Neodiprion lecontei: one gene and its partner. The protein of the gene in region 1 purifies or fractionates together with the protein of each later gene. This does not show direct contact. Links are inferred from orthologs where the notes say so. Each region holds a gene or a part of one and is shown in the gene's direction. Other genes may lie near its edges.

Evidence for each region. Proteins that work in one complex are often made in the same cells at the same time.
Region 2: the proteins of NEDD8-conjugating enzyme Ubc12 (region 1) and COP9 signalosome complex subunit 6 purify together in Homo sapiens (affinity purification with mass spectrometry; 3 studies listed by BioGRID and IntAct, counting the BioPlex papers as one, with this or other methods). This does not show direct contact. The link is inferred for Neodiprion lecontei from reciprocal best matches to the Homo sapiens genes UBE2M and COPS6.

What each region holds. Positions count from the first base shown.
Region 1 is NC_060266.1:5,034,869-5,038,888, reverse strand, and holds NEDD8-conjugating enzyme Ubc12, read left to right. Parts: upstream 1-1,761; 5' UTR 1,762-1,901; coding exon 1,902-2,004; intron 2,005-2,092; coding exon 2,093-2,187; intron 2,188-2,419; coding exon 2,420-2,626; intron 2,627-3,150; coding exon 3,151-3,291; 3' UTR 3,292-3,512; downstream 3,513-4,020.
Region 2 is NC_060261.1:28,662,091-28,668,773, forward strand, and holds COP9 signalosome complex subunit 6, read left to right. Parts: upstream 1-1,566; 5' UTR 1,567-1,780; coding exon 1,781-1,991; intron 1,992-2,210; coding exon 2,211-2,494; intron 2,495-4,885; coding exon 4,886-5,051; intron 5,052-5,350; coding exon 5,351-5,544; intron 5,545-5,697; coding exon 5,698-5,838; 3' UTR 5,839-6,126; downstream 6,127-6,683. UniProt on the Homo sapiens protein: Component of the COP9 signalosome complex (CSN), a complex involved in various cellular and developmental processes.

The sequences.
Region 1 (4,020 bases):
AAAAATCGTCACTGAGATATTTGAGAATGACTTTCAAGGAGTTGGCTTCTCAGAATACTAATATATTTTGTTTACAATGGTTTATTTACTTTGGAAAATCATTTTTCCTGAACATACGTCGTTTTACAGTAACGGTACGTTGATGACTTCATCCTTATGTATTTTCAGTGATCGAGCATGCCAGCAAAATGGTAAAAGAAATTGTCATAGTAAGTTTTTTCATCAAGTCAAAGATTAGCGCAACAAAGGAATATGATAGCAAATGAAATTATGTGAAATCTTAAACCTATTTTTATAACTAAATTTAACGTACTTACAACAACTCGTCGAGGAGAGTTGCGAAGTTGGGCAAGTAACATGAATTAATAAACGCTGCAACAATCCCTAGTTTATTTTATAGAGCACTAAAACGTTATCAACGGATTTATCAACGACCGTGGCTAAGCGTTATGGAAAATTAAATATTTACCCTGATTCGGTTGCCACATTAAACAGACTCCGGCTGAATTAATAGATCATAAATAGTTCGTTTCGAACAATTTAAAACGTTAAGAATCGAGTGCAATTAACTCATAGTAACATCTCTCGTTAAATAAATATTCGTATAGATTGACAAAGGCGATATTATACATGTATATATCGTATTACACGTACCACATCATCGTTGTGCAAATTTCGATTATCACTGACACATTACACACTCTACGTAAACACTGTAAACATCGGTACTCTACAATATCATTATTACAGTTACTTTCTACTATCGTTTCGTTTCATCGCCGCGACAATTCCCGATGCACCGATGTCAAAGAACATATATATATTATTTTTTTCTTCTTTTTTTCGTACAGTGAAAGGTTCACCCAACCACGGTGCGACAGACTTCACTCAAAAACACGTGACTGCGCGGAATCTTGAACAGAGCTTAAGATTTGAATGTCTCTTACAGCGGATCACAATTTGATATATTATTGCATTTGTTTAATCTTATCTGTACCCTAGTTTGACCATTTATTAGATATGAACGGTTATCAATTGTTTCGAAGAAATATGTTAAAATATTAACCTATGAAAGTGAGAGAAGCGGTTACCTAACGCCATCGCGATTGGTCATTATAACTGTCTACTCTGCGAAAACAATGCAATCCTACAGATATGTGCCAATATATGATATATGTAGAAGAGTAAACATGCTGTACGTCATTTTCGTACGTTATTTTCGGCTGCTAGATTCGTTACACCTTTTTGACCTTGCTTATGGCCACGCTATTCCATGCATACGTGGACTAGCAAGACTGTCTACGCAACGCGAATTTATTACACTATTTTTTTACTCAACGTCAAAGTAACAGAGATTTCAATGGCGATGTTTAGAAGCGGAGTTCACGCTGTTAGTATTATTTATAAGTCTATGGAGCCACGCATCGCCAAAGTGTCTACGTTCACTGAACAACTTCAAATACGGATCTTGGAGTAAAAAATTTTTTATCCAATGAGGAGATGGTCGCAGTGGCGCTATTTTCGACTGAACCAATCTACCAGCTTTCAGCGTTCAGCCGTTAAACGGTGAAAATTTTTAATTATAAGCCTTCAACAAGGTATCTGGCCATTCGCGACGGAATCGCGTTGATTTTTTGCGATAAATGTGAGCAGAAAATAGCCGGCGAAAGTGATCAAGGTCAATTAATTTTCGTATTTGTGGTTAAAAAGACGTGAATTTAACTATATGGTGGAATATTCGCGAAGCGTGAATATAGCCAGGGGAGAGCACGGTCCGAAAGGCGAGTTATCCCCCTTGTCAAAAATTAGTAGGTTCCAATTTTTTAATCTTCTGTGATTTTGCTTGAATTTAAAAAGTATTTGTATGCCTCGCTATATTGTAGCCGAACTTAGAATCTAACATGATTAAATTATTTTCACTAAAACAAGCGAAAAAAGATGGCGAATCACCAAGGACAGGAACTCAGAAAAAGGCCTCAGCAGCGCAGTTAAGGATCACGAAAGGTTGCGATTTATCATTTTTTTTATCACATAACGGGATACGATTGTGAAAGAAATATTTAAAATAATCTTTCCCTTATTTTTATTTCAGATATAAACGAACTCAACCTGCCAAAAACATGCGGCACAGAATTTCCAGATCCAGATGACCTGTTGACTTTTAAACTAATAATCTGCCCTGACGAAGTACGTATTTTACCACTCAGAAATTCTCAGTTGTTTTCATCATCCTGTCGCTACTTGTTGCGTACCAAAATTTCAGTTAGTCAAGTTTCTACTGCAGCAACTTAGTAGCGATTCTTTAAGCTGTGCTAACTTCAGCGCAGATCGCTCATGCCTGTATCTCCTTCTGTTCTCTGTTCGTCGCTCGATTGACAAATGAGCCAAAGTATTCACCTCGCATTATAATTATTCTTAGGGTTTCTACAAAGGCGGAAGATTTGTGTTCAGTTTTAAGGTCGGTCCAAACTATCCACACGAACCACCTAAAGTAAAGTGCGAAACGCAGGTTTATCATCCCAACATTGACCTGGAAGGCAATGTCTGCCTGAATATTCTTAGAGAAGATTGGAAACCTGTATTGACAATAAACTCGATTGTCTACGGGCTTCAGTATCTCTTTCTGGTAAGTATTGAACACTCTGAATTTGCGTCTCTGAACTCAATGTGCTTACTTTCATGTATTTCCAAAACTTACATCTTGACAATATATTGGGCAAATATTTTAGGCTGAAAAGTATCGAACCAAAGAAATTGGATAAGTTAAAATAGTTTCAACCTTGCAACTGAAGTCGATCAAAGTATGTTTTGTTCACACAAAATCTCTCGGATAAAAACTGTTATTAACAGATTTAGTAAAGTCAGATTATTGCACATCTTATGGTACATTTGTTACATATATTATGCATGTAAATAAGTTTCCCACAAATCATCTACCGAAGATTTTTCCTTGAACTTCTCAGTCGACAAGGTTTCAATTCAGTTTCACTCGAATCAACTTCGGTTGCACCTTTTGAATCATTATTTTATTTTTATTGTCCATTGGAGCTTTTTTTTTTTTTTAACTAGATTGTACTAATGAATAAATCTTACAATTTTATTCTTATGCCTCTCGTTTGTTTATTTTTTCTTCATTTTCTCTTTACTTAGGAACCGAATCCTGAAGATCCTTTAAACAAAGATGCGGCAGAGGTGTTACAAAATAATCGAAGAGTATTCGAACAGAATGTGGTGAAAGCAATGCGAGGTGGATACGTAGGGTCATTTTATTTTGAACGGTGTCTCAAGTGATACACCGCCTCCTCACCAATGCTGTATACAATCCTGCAAAGACTCAGACTTAGAGGACAAATACCAAGAGACTGGAGAAATGGAGGAGAACACAGTGTTCTAACGGTTACCTGTGTGTCTGCTTTATACATATTTACGTTCTTCACGTCTTGCCAGGCCTCCAAACATTTAATCCATCAAGTATTTTATGCTTTTGGCTAATAAACTTACTTAAATCTTCACAATGTATAGTTCACTAAATAGAAGAAACCAAAAATTTCCTTGACAGGCAGTTTGCGTCGTTTAAATAACAGCAACTGCACAAGCTTTAAAAAGTGGGTAGATGCAATAAGGTGGAAGCTGCTGATCTTAGGTTTCGAATTTCTCAATAGCGATCAGAAGGACACCTTGAAAGCAGTGCTGGCTATTTTAGTAGCTGGAATATAAGTTTATAAGTGGTGCGAAACAACCGGTCGATGGTCGGGATGTAACGAAGACTTTGAGTTTTCAAAGAGCGGGGACTGTAAAAGTTGAGTAGAATATTTACATAGAAAAAAGGGCGAATGTACGATTGCATTAATTTTCAAAGTAGGATGTCCGAAAGGTGGACCTGTCCATCTTCTACATCGTCGATGAAATAAAATGATTAAAAACATCGCACGTTATTTTAACTATCTTTCGAAAGTGTGATTTGTACATCGAGCTAAAGTAGCGCAATTTTATGAACCATAAAAATTTACCTGAATACTT
Region 2 (6,683 bases), on another chromosome or scaffold:
CTTGTAGATACATACGTAATCAAACAAATCTATTCCGTAAAGAACCGAGTGATCCTTAATTATTTACTATGCTTTGAATGTACTTAAATATTACCTAAATATCACAATTTTCAACATTATATTTTTGCGTATATTTCGATACTTTAAAATCAAAAGGCACAAGTTAGCCACTAGGCATTCGGGCCTATCGACACGAGACTTTATACTTTTACACATGTTCCCTACACACGCTATTGTGCATAACTTTCATGTACGGTTTAATAAGCTGTGTGTTGCGTAAACGGTGCACTTTATTTTATTAAATAAAATCATAAAAACTGTACCAGTTATACACATTAATGGTACAGGGACAGTGCGTAAACGTAGCAAATGATTATTTCTTGCCATGTTTAGCACAATATATGCACGTTACACGGTTTAATATAATACTAGAAAGTGCGTCAAACCCCTAGGGAATTTCACAATCTGAAGATGATCTAAGCTGTGATTCTTTTAAGAATCAATCTTTACGATGTTAGATTAATCGATTATTATCTGAATTTTCAAAGTTTCGATTATTATTGAATCGATTCGTTTTCTATACGAAACGATTAGTTAAGAACAACTTTCTATACAAATGCAATGTTGAATCTACTTTGTATTTTATACTGAGATGAAATATTCTAATAAATAACCACTGTCTCTCATAATTCTTAAAATGAAGTCATTTACTTTTCCTGTTATCTGATTACGTGTAAAAGGTAATAGAAAACTTCAAAAATACCGCTTGTTTGCTGCCAACAATAGTACACTGAATAATATGTATATACAAATGATTTCTTCTAGTTAAAGCTGTATCTGATCTTTCTGGGTTTTAACCAAAGTTCATACGTTATTTTATACCGTGTAAATACTAATAAGCGAACACTTGATTGAATTCTTCATTATTAGAAATAACCCGGATATATGTACGTAAGAGAATATTATGAGATGAATCTTGCAGACTTAATAACTCCTTTATATCCATGAACGGCGTTAATTCTAAAATTCTGGAAAATTAATTAGTAAATGGGAAAACTAAAAAAATTCATATGTACAATTTTGTTTGCAACGTGATAACCATCTCTGAAAGTAGAAAGTATAGTAGTGTGCCTGAAAAAAATTAGTTCGAAATCTAGTTTCATGGTGAGTGCCGTTGTAGTTATCCCTTCAACGAAGGACCATGGTAAGTTCCTTATATTTCAGAAAACCCCTGCGACTGCAAACGCTACGTTATACTCTACTCTCGAGATCATCAACTTTTTTGCCTCTATTATTCGAAAAACGATAAATCTTTCCACTTTTCTGGTCGCATATGGCAGAATTCGTATGCGATCATAATATATATTTCTTTTATACCACTACAATTATACATTCTTCACTTTGACAGATTTTAAATACAAGGTAGTTTCGTACGCAGTATAAAACGTTTGACTTTTCCCGCGTTCAGGCATGCGCACACATTACTACGTCAGTTCCCTGGGTGGTAACTAGGCTGACTCGAGGCGCTTCAAAAGTTATAAATTGGTAGCACAGGCTGCCATAGAAATTAGCTATTCAGATAAATACAGAATAGGGCAATAGGGTCTCAACCAGTCTTAACTCCCAACGGTCTAAACCAACGATTGTTTCACAACTCGCCGCAGGCTGTCGTAGACGGTACTTTGTAGTATTTACGCCTTTGTAGCCACCAGCCATCAGTAAGTAAAGAGTATAGATAAAACTGTCGTGTTTGCTAGTTTGAGCGTAAAAATATACCAAAATGAGCGAGCCGTCGTTTAGTGAAATGGAGGTAGAAGAAAGCAACGTTGTTAGCGCGATGGATACAACCCCAGTCACAAGTAACGTGAAGAGCGTGATGGCCTCGTCTGGGACTGTCGGCTCAGTGTCAATCAGTTTGCATCCTCTCGTCATAATGAATGTTAGTGAACATTGGACGAGGCTCAGGGCACAGGAAGGCTCTGATCAACTGGGTGAGTGTAATAGAATACAACTTTTTACTTCAGTGCCCTGAAGTCAGTTTATGGTGTGCTATGATCACGGTGGCAGAATATACCCTAATCTAACATGATTCGATAATGCGCAAATAAAGTTCTGTAAGTTCGATTACAAGAGAACGATGCATGTTGAAACCTGAATGATTTACACTCTAATGCATAGTGTTTGTATTAATTATTTATTAATTCTTACAGTTTACGGAGCACTGATCGGTAAACAGAAGGGACGTAACATAGAGATAATGAATTCTTTCGAGCTCTTGTTTACATCTATCGGTGACGATGTTGTCATTGATCGAGATTACTACAATACGAAAGAAGAACAGTTCAAGCAGGTGTTTAGTGAAATGGATTTTCTCGGGTGGTACACAACAGGAGATGCCCCAACAGACAGAGACATCAGGGTACACAAACAGCTATGCGAAATTAACGAATGTCCTGTGCTACTTAAGTTAGACCCGAGGTGTAAACATACAGAAGTAAGTGTTTACTATGTAACAATCTCTTTCCATACATTTTCTGCTCCAAAACATGTCCAATCCATCACTGTATTATTACAGAATGTGTATTCAACGATCTAAATAGTGCTGCAAGTTCTAGAAACATAATGAAATTTATGACATTGCAGAAAAGCAGCAATGGTCAGAAATCTGTAAAATCTCACAATACATACTGTGGAAATTTTACAGTTGGAAAATGTTTCAAGTATTTCAGGAAATTTCTTAGGGTACAGTACCCAAAGATATAAATGGGATATTCCACACCAACTTAACCAACTTCCAGACCTCACCTTTTGTCATTTTGGTCAAAAACTTTTCATAGAATTGTCCCAACTCCAAAACAGGATCCCGACCTTGGTCAGATTTTTCTGAGTAAATTTGTTTACTTATGATTTTTGAAAACCTAAATGTCATTGGCCGTAATTTAAATATGCCAAAAAATTCACAACCATCTTGTGTCAAGTATCGAAATTTTTAAGCCTAGATCCGGATTAGGCTGGCATTTGCTTCTACTCTTTTTTAAGTTTCTTAAATAAAAAAAAAAAATAGATGCAATTGTCAGTCTTTTGTGGGCCGCTGCTCAAACATTTTTATACACAACCCAGGATTTTTAAGAATTTTTTCAGATTCCAAATTTTTGTTCCAAATGAAAAAATTGTTAATAATTAATGAGTTTAAAAAAATCTTAAGAATTCTTAAATAGTACGCGTTACATATTAAAATTTTTGCCAACAAATGACTGAAAATTTCTCACAAAAGAATGACAATTGCTTCTTTTTTTTTCAATTAGTTTTCTTCAAGAAATCTCGAAAAAAAATAAGAAGGGAATGTCGACCCACTCAGGGTTTAAGCTCAAAAATTTTAATGTCTGACACATGATTTTTGAGAATCTTTTCAGATTTCTAAATTAAGGTCAAAAACATGTTGATTTTAAAAAACGCAAGTAAAGCAACTTTCAGTCCAAAAAATCTGAAAAAATTCGGGGTACTGTTATGGATTTGGTACAATTCCATAAAAATGTTTAAACAAGATTAGAAATGGTAAGCGTCCAATGTTGGTTAAGTTGGTATAGAATACCTCATATGTATAAATTTTACTACTGAGCAGAACGACATCAACAACATCATATTTAATAATTTGATTCAAAAACATTGTATCTCACAATTTTGTTCAAGACCATTGTTTTCAGAATTTAGTCGAACATCATTGTATCTCTAGTCAATGAACAACGTTTTTTTTAAGGCTGTGCAACTGCTGTGCATATGATTCTTGAAAGAGTAAGGTTGCTATTCGGTTTATAAGTAACGGTTAAGATTTAATATTACAATATTAAATTATAATTCAAATCTGGTGTATAGAATTATTTTTATTTTCATATGGAATATTCACTTTGTTGTATGAATTTAATTGAGGATTAAGTAATATATTTTTTATGTAGTAACGTTCAATTTCCCCTATGGGCTAACTCTACTCATCTGTATACATGCTTATACAGCAATATCGGTAAGCCTTCGTGGTTTTATGCATTATGTATAGGATAACAGATGATGATGATTGTTCACTAACAAAAATTTATTGAAATTGTTTTTGCTTGCCGTTAATTTTCGATATTTTTCTTATGGTTATTTTACAACAAAACTGATATTTATATATATTGATACTACAAGTATTTGGAATCATAATCAATCAGTACATAAATTGTATGATCGAACTAAATAAACCACATAAAAGTACAAGTGATTACCCAATCTGGAATAGAGTTATGATTTAGTAAAGTGATATTAAATCTTAACTGCTGTTTATAAGTTGACTAGCATCTTTACTCTTTCAAGAATCATATATCGAGCAGTGGCACAGTCTGAAAAAATTTGCGCGCAAAACGTCAACTACAGATATTTTGATGTTGAACCAAATTCTGACATACGAAGGGTTTCAATGACGTTCTGAGAACGTATAACAGTCCGCAGAAATATTAAATATTCATTCTAAAGAATTGAGGCAAGTTAGGAAAATTGAAACTGTATTTTTTATGGTCACACGGCTTTTTACCATAGCATCTTCTAGTGTGACCTGTGCTTGGGTAAATTTTTAGCTGGCTTTAAATTTAGTCAGTCTGGAGAAGTTTGCCTATTTTTTCTATATATTGATAAATCCTGTGTTCAGATATTTTTGGTATCATTCCATTCATATTGTAAGGTCAATGTAGTAAAAACGCGTCTTCCACTTTGAAGAAATTCCTCTTAAAGGGGGCTCAATTTTTAATTATAAATTTTACTATACACAGTGAACAATATGTTTGATACTTCTTTGTATACAATTTTAGTTTATATGGAGAATATAAAAAACCAAAAAAGCGTTTCCTTTCCATAGCAATTATCTGTTGCAATGTACGAGTCTGTGATCGATTTGGTAAATGGCGAAGCCACCATGCTATTTGTGCCATTAACATATACATTAGCAACGGAAGAAGCCGAAAGAATTGGAGTCGATCATGTAGCAAGAATGTGCACTAACGATCAGGCCGAAAGTTCATTGGGTAAGAAATAATTTCGCACTCACAGTGGAGCGTCATTATAGTCTTACCTCGTCCTTACAAGAATAGTGCGGCCCCTAGTGACTCTTCACCAAGGCAATGCTATGCACGCTGGCTGCTACAACCGCATTGGTGAGGAAAACCTGATGACGTATATGACGGGAAAATGTAGGGGAACAGGTTTCTAACGACAAGGCTTATATTGACGCTCCTCTGTATTGGTCTTAAAGTGTAAACAGACCTTTATGATATCGTAAGAAGATTAATCAATCCCTGGACATAATAGTACATCTATTTCTTAGTGGCAGAACATTTAACTGCACAACACAGTGCAATTAAGATGCTGAATTCAAGGGTTAAACTTGTTTTGAGATACGTTGAAGCCGTTCAAAGCGGGGAATTGAAAGGGAACCACGAAGTATTGCGAGCTGCATGCTCACTGGGACATCGATTACCTGTTTTAAATAGTGCAAACTTTCGAGCAGACTTTTATAACGTAAGTAAGAATTATTCTAAGAAAAAATAAAATTAATAATTAAGATAAAGAAACGCGGCAATCAGTTAAAAAAGACACAAGAGTTTATTGCAAATCGAATTTTTGTTTCTTGTGTGAATTAAATTCTAATTCTACAATTTTTGTTCTTTTCAGCAATGCAACGATTTTGGTCTAGTGACGTATCTTGGAATAATAACAAAAGGATGCAACGATATAAATCAATTTACGAACAAATTCAACATTTTATACGACCGACAAGGAATGGGCCGTCGCTTGCGAAGTCTCTTCTTTTAATAAATAATTAAATAACTCTTTTTTCTACTTCGATTTATAGTTTCAACTTAAACTCATAAGCTATTAACACTCAACCTCAGCATTGCGATACGCAACAGCCCATAAATCTTGTCATTGCTTAGAGACCCCCTTTAATAATTCATCATTTACAATATATAAGTAAATGCAATAATGATAAGACACCATGCGCAGATCGTTCATTCATGATAAACAACTGCAGTAACCCTGTACAGGAAAGATGTAATGTGATATAACTGTTAAATAAAACTATTCGAATATTTATACTTACATGTATATGTATAGTCTGTGTATATATTTATCACAAGATTTTAAAAGTCAACTAATATCGATGGTAACTACAGTTTTGGATGAAATTTGGTTAAAACTCAAGAATAAATTCCGAACTGCAGGTGGGCTGATCTACTTACTGGTAGTTTTTTTTTTTTTTTTCTTTTTGAATTTGCGAGGCATCGACATGGCAGCATCATATGACTTCCGTGTGCTTTTCGAACGGTTGCAGCTAATTGATATACATGTAGATATTTATATAAACGCAACATTTAAATGCCATACAAATTTATTATTAATTCCCACTATCTACAATGGTAGGTAATAATTAATTTACGATATATAATACATTTTTACACGTTACACGTTAATTATGTGGTTTAAAATTTCTTTAACATTCCGGGAGAAACGATGGTCATATCGTTTTATTGTGAGCAGGTAATTACGTTTTTTAGATATTTATTTATTCATTTTATGTAGATCCGATACTTGCATGCATCCTTTTCTTATAATGGAAGACCTTATTTCAATCGGCACGTTTACATGGTGAAACACTG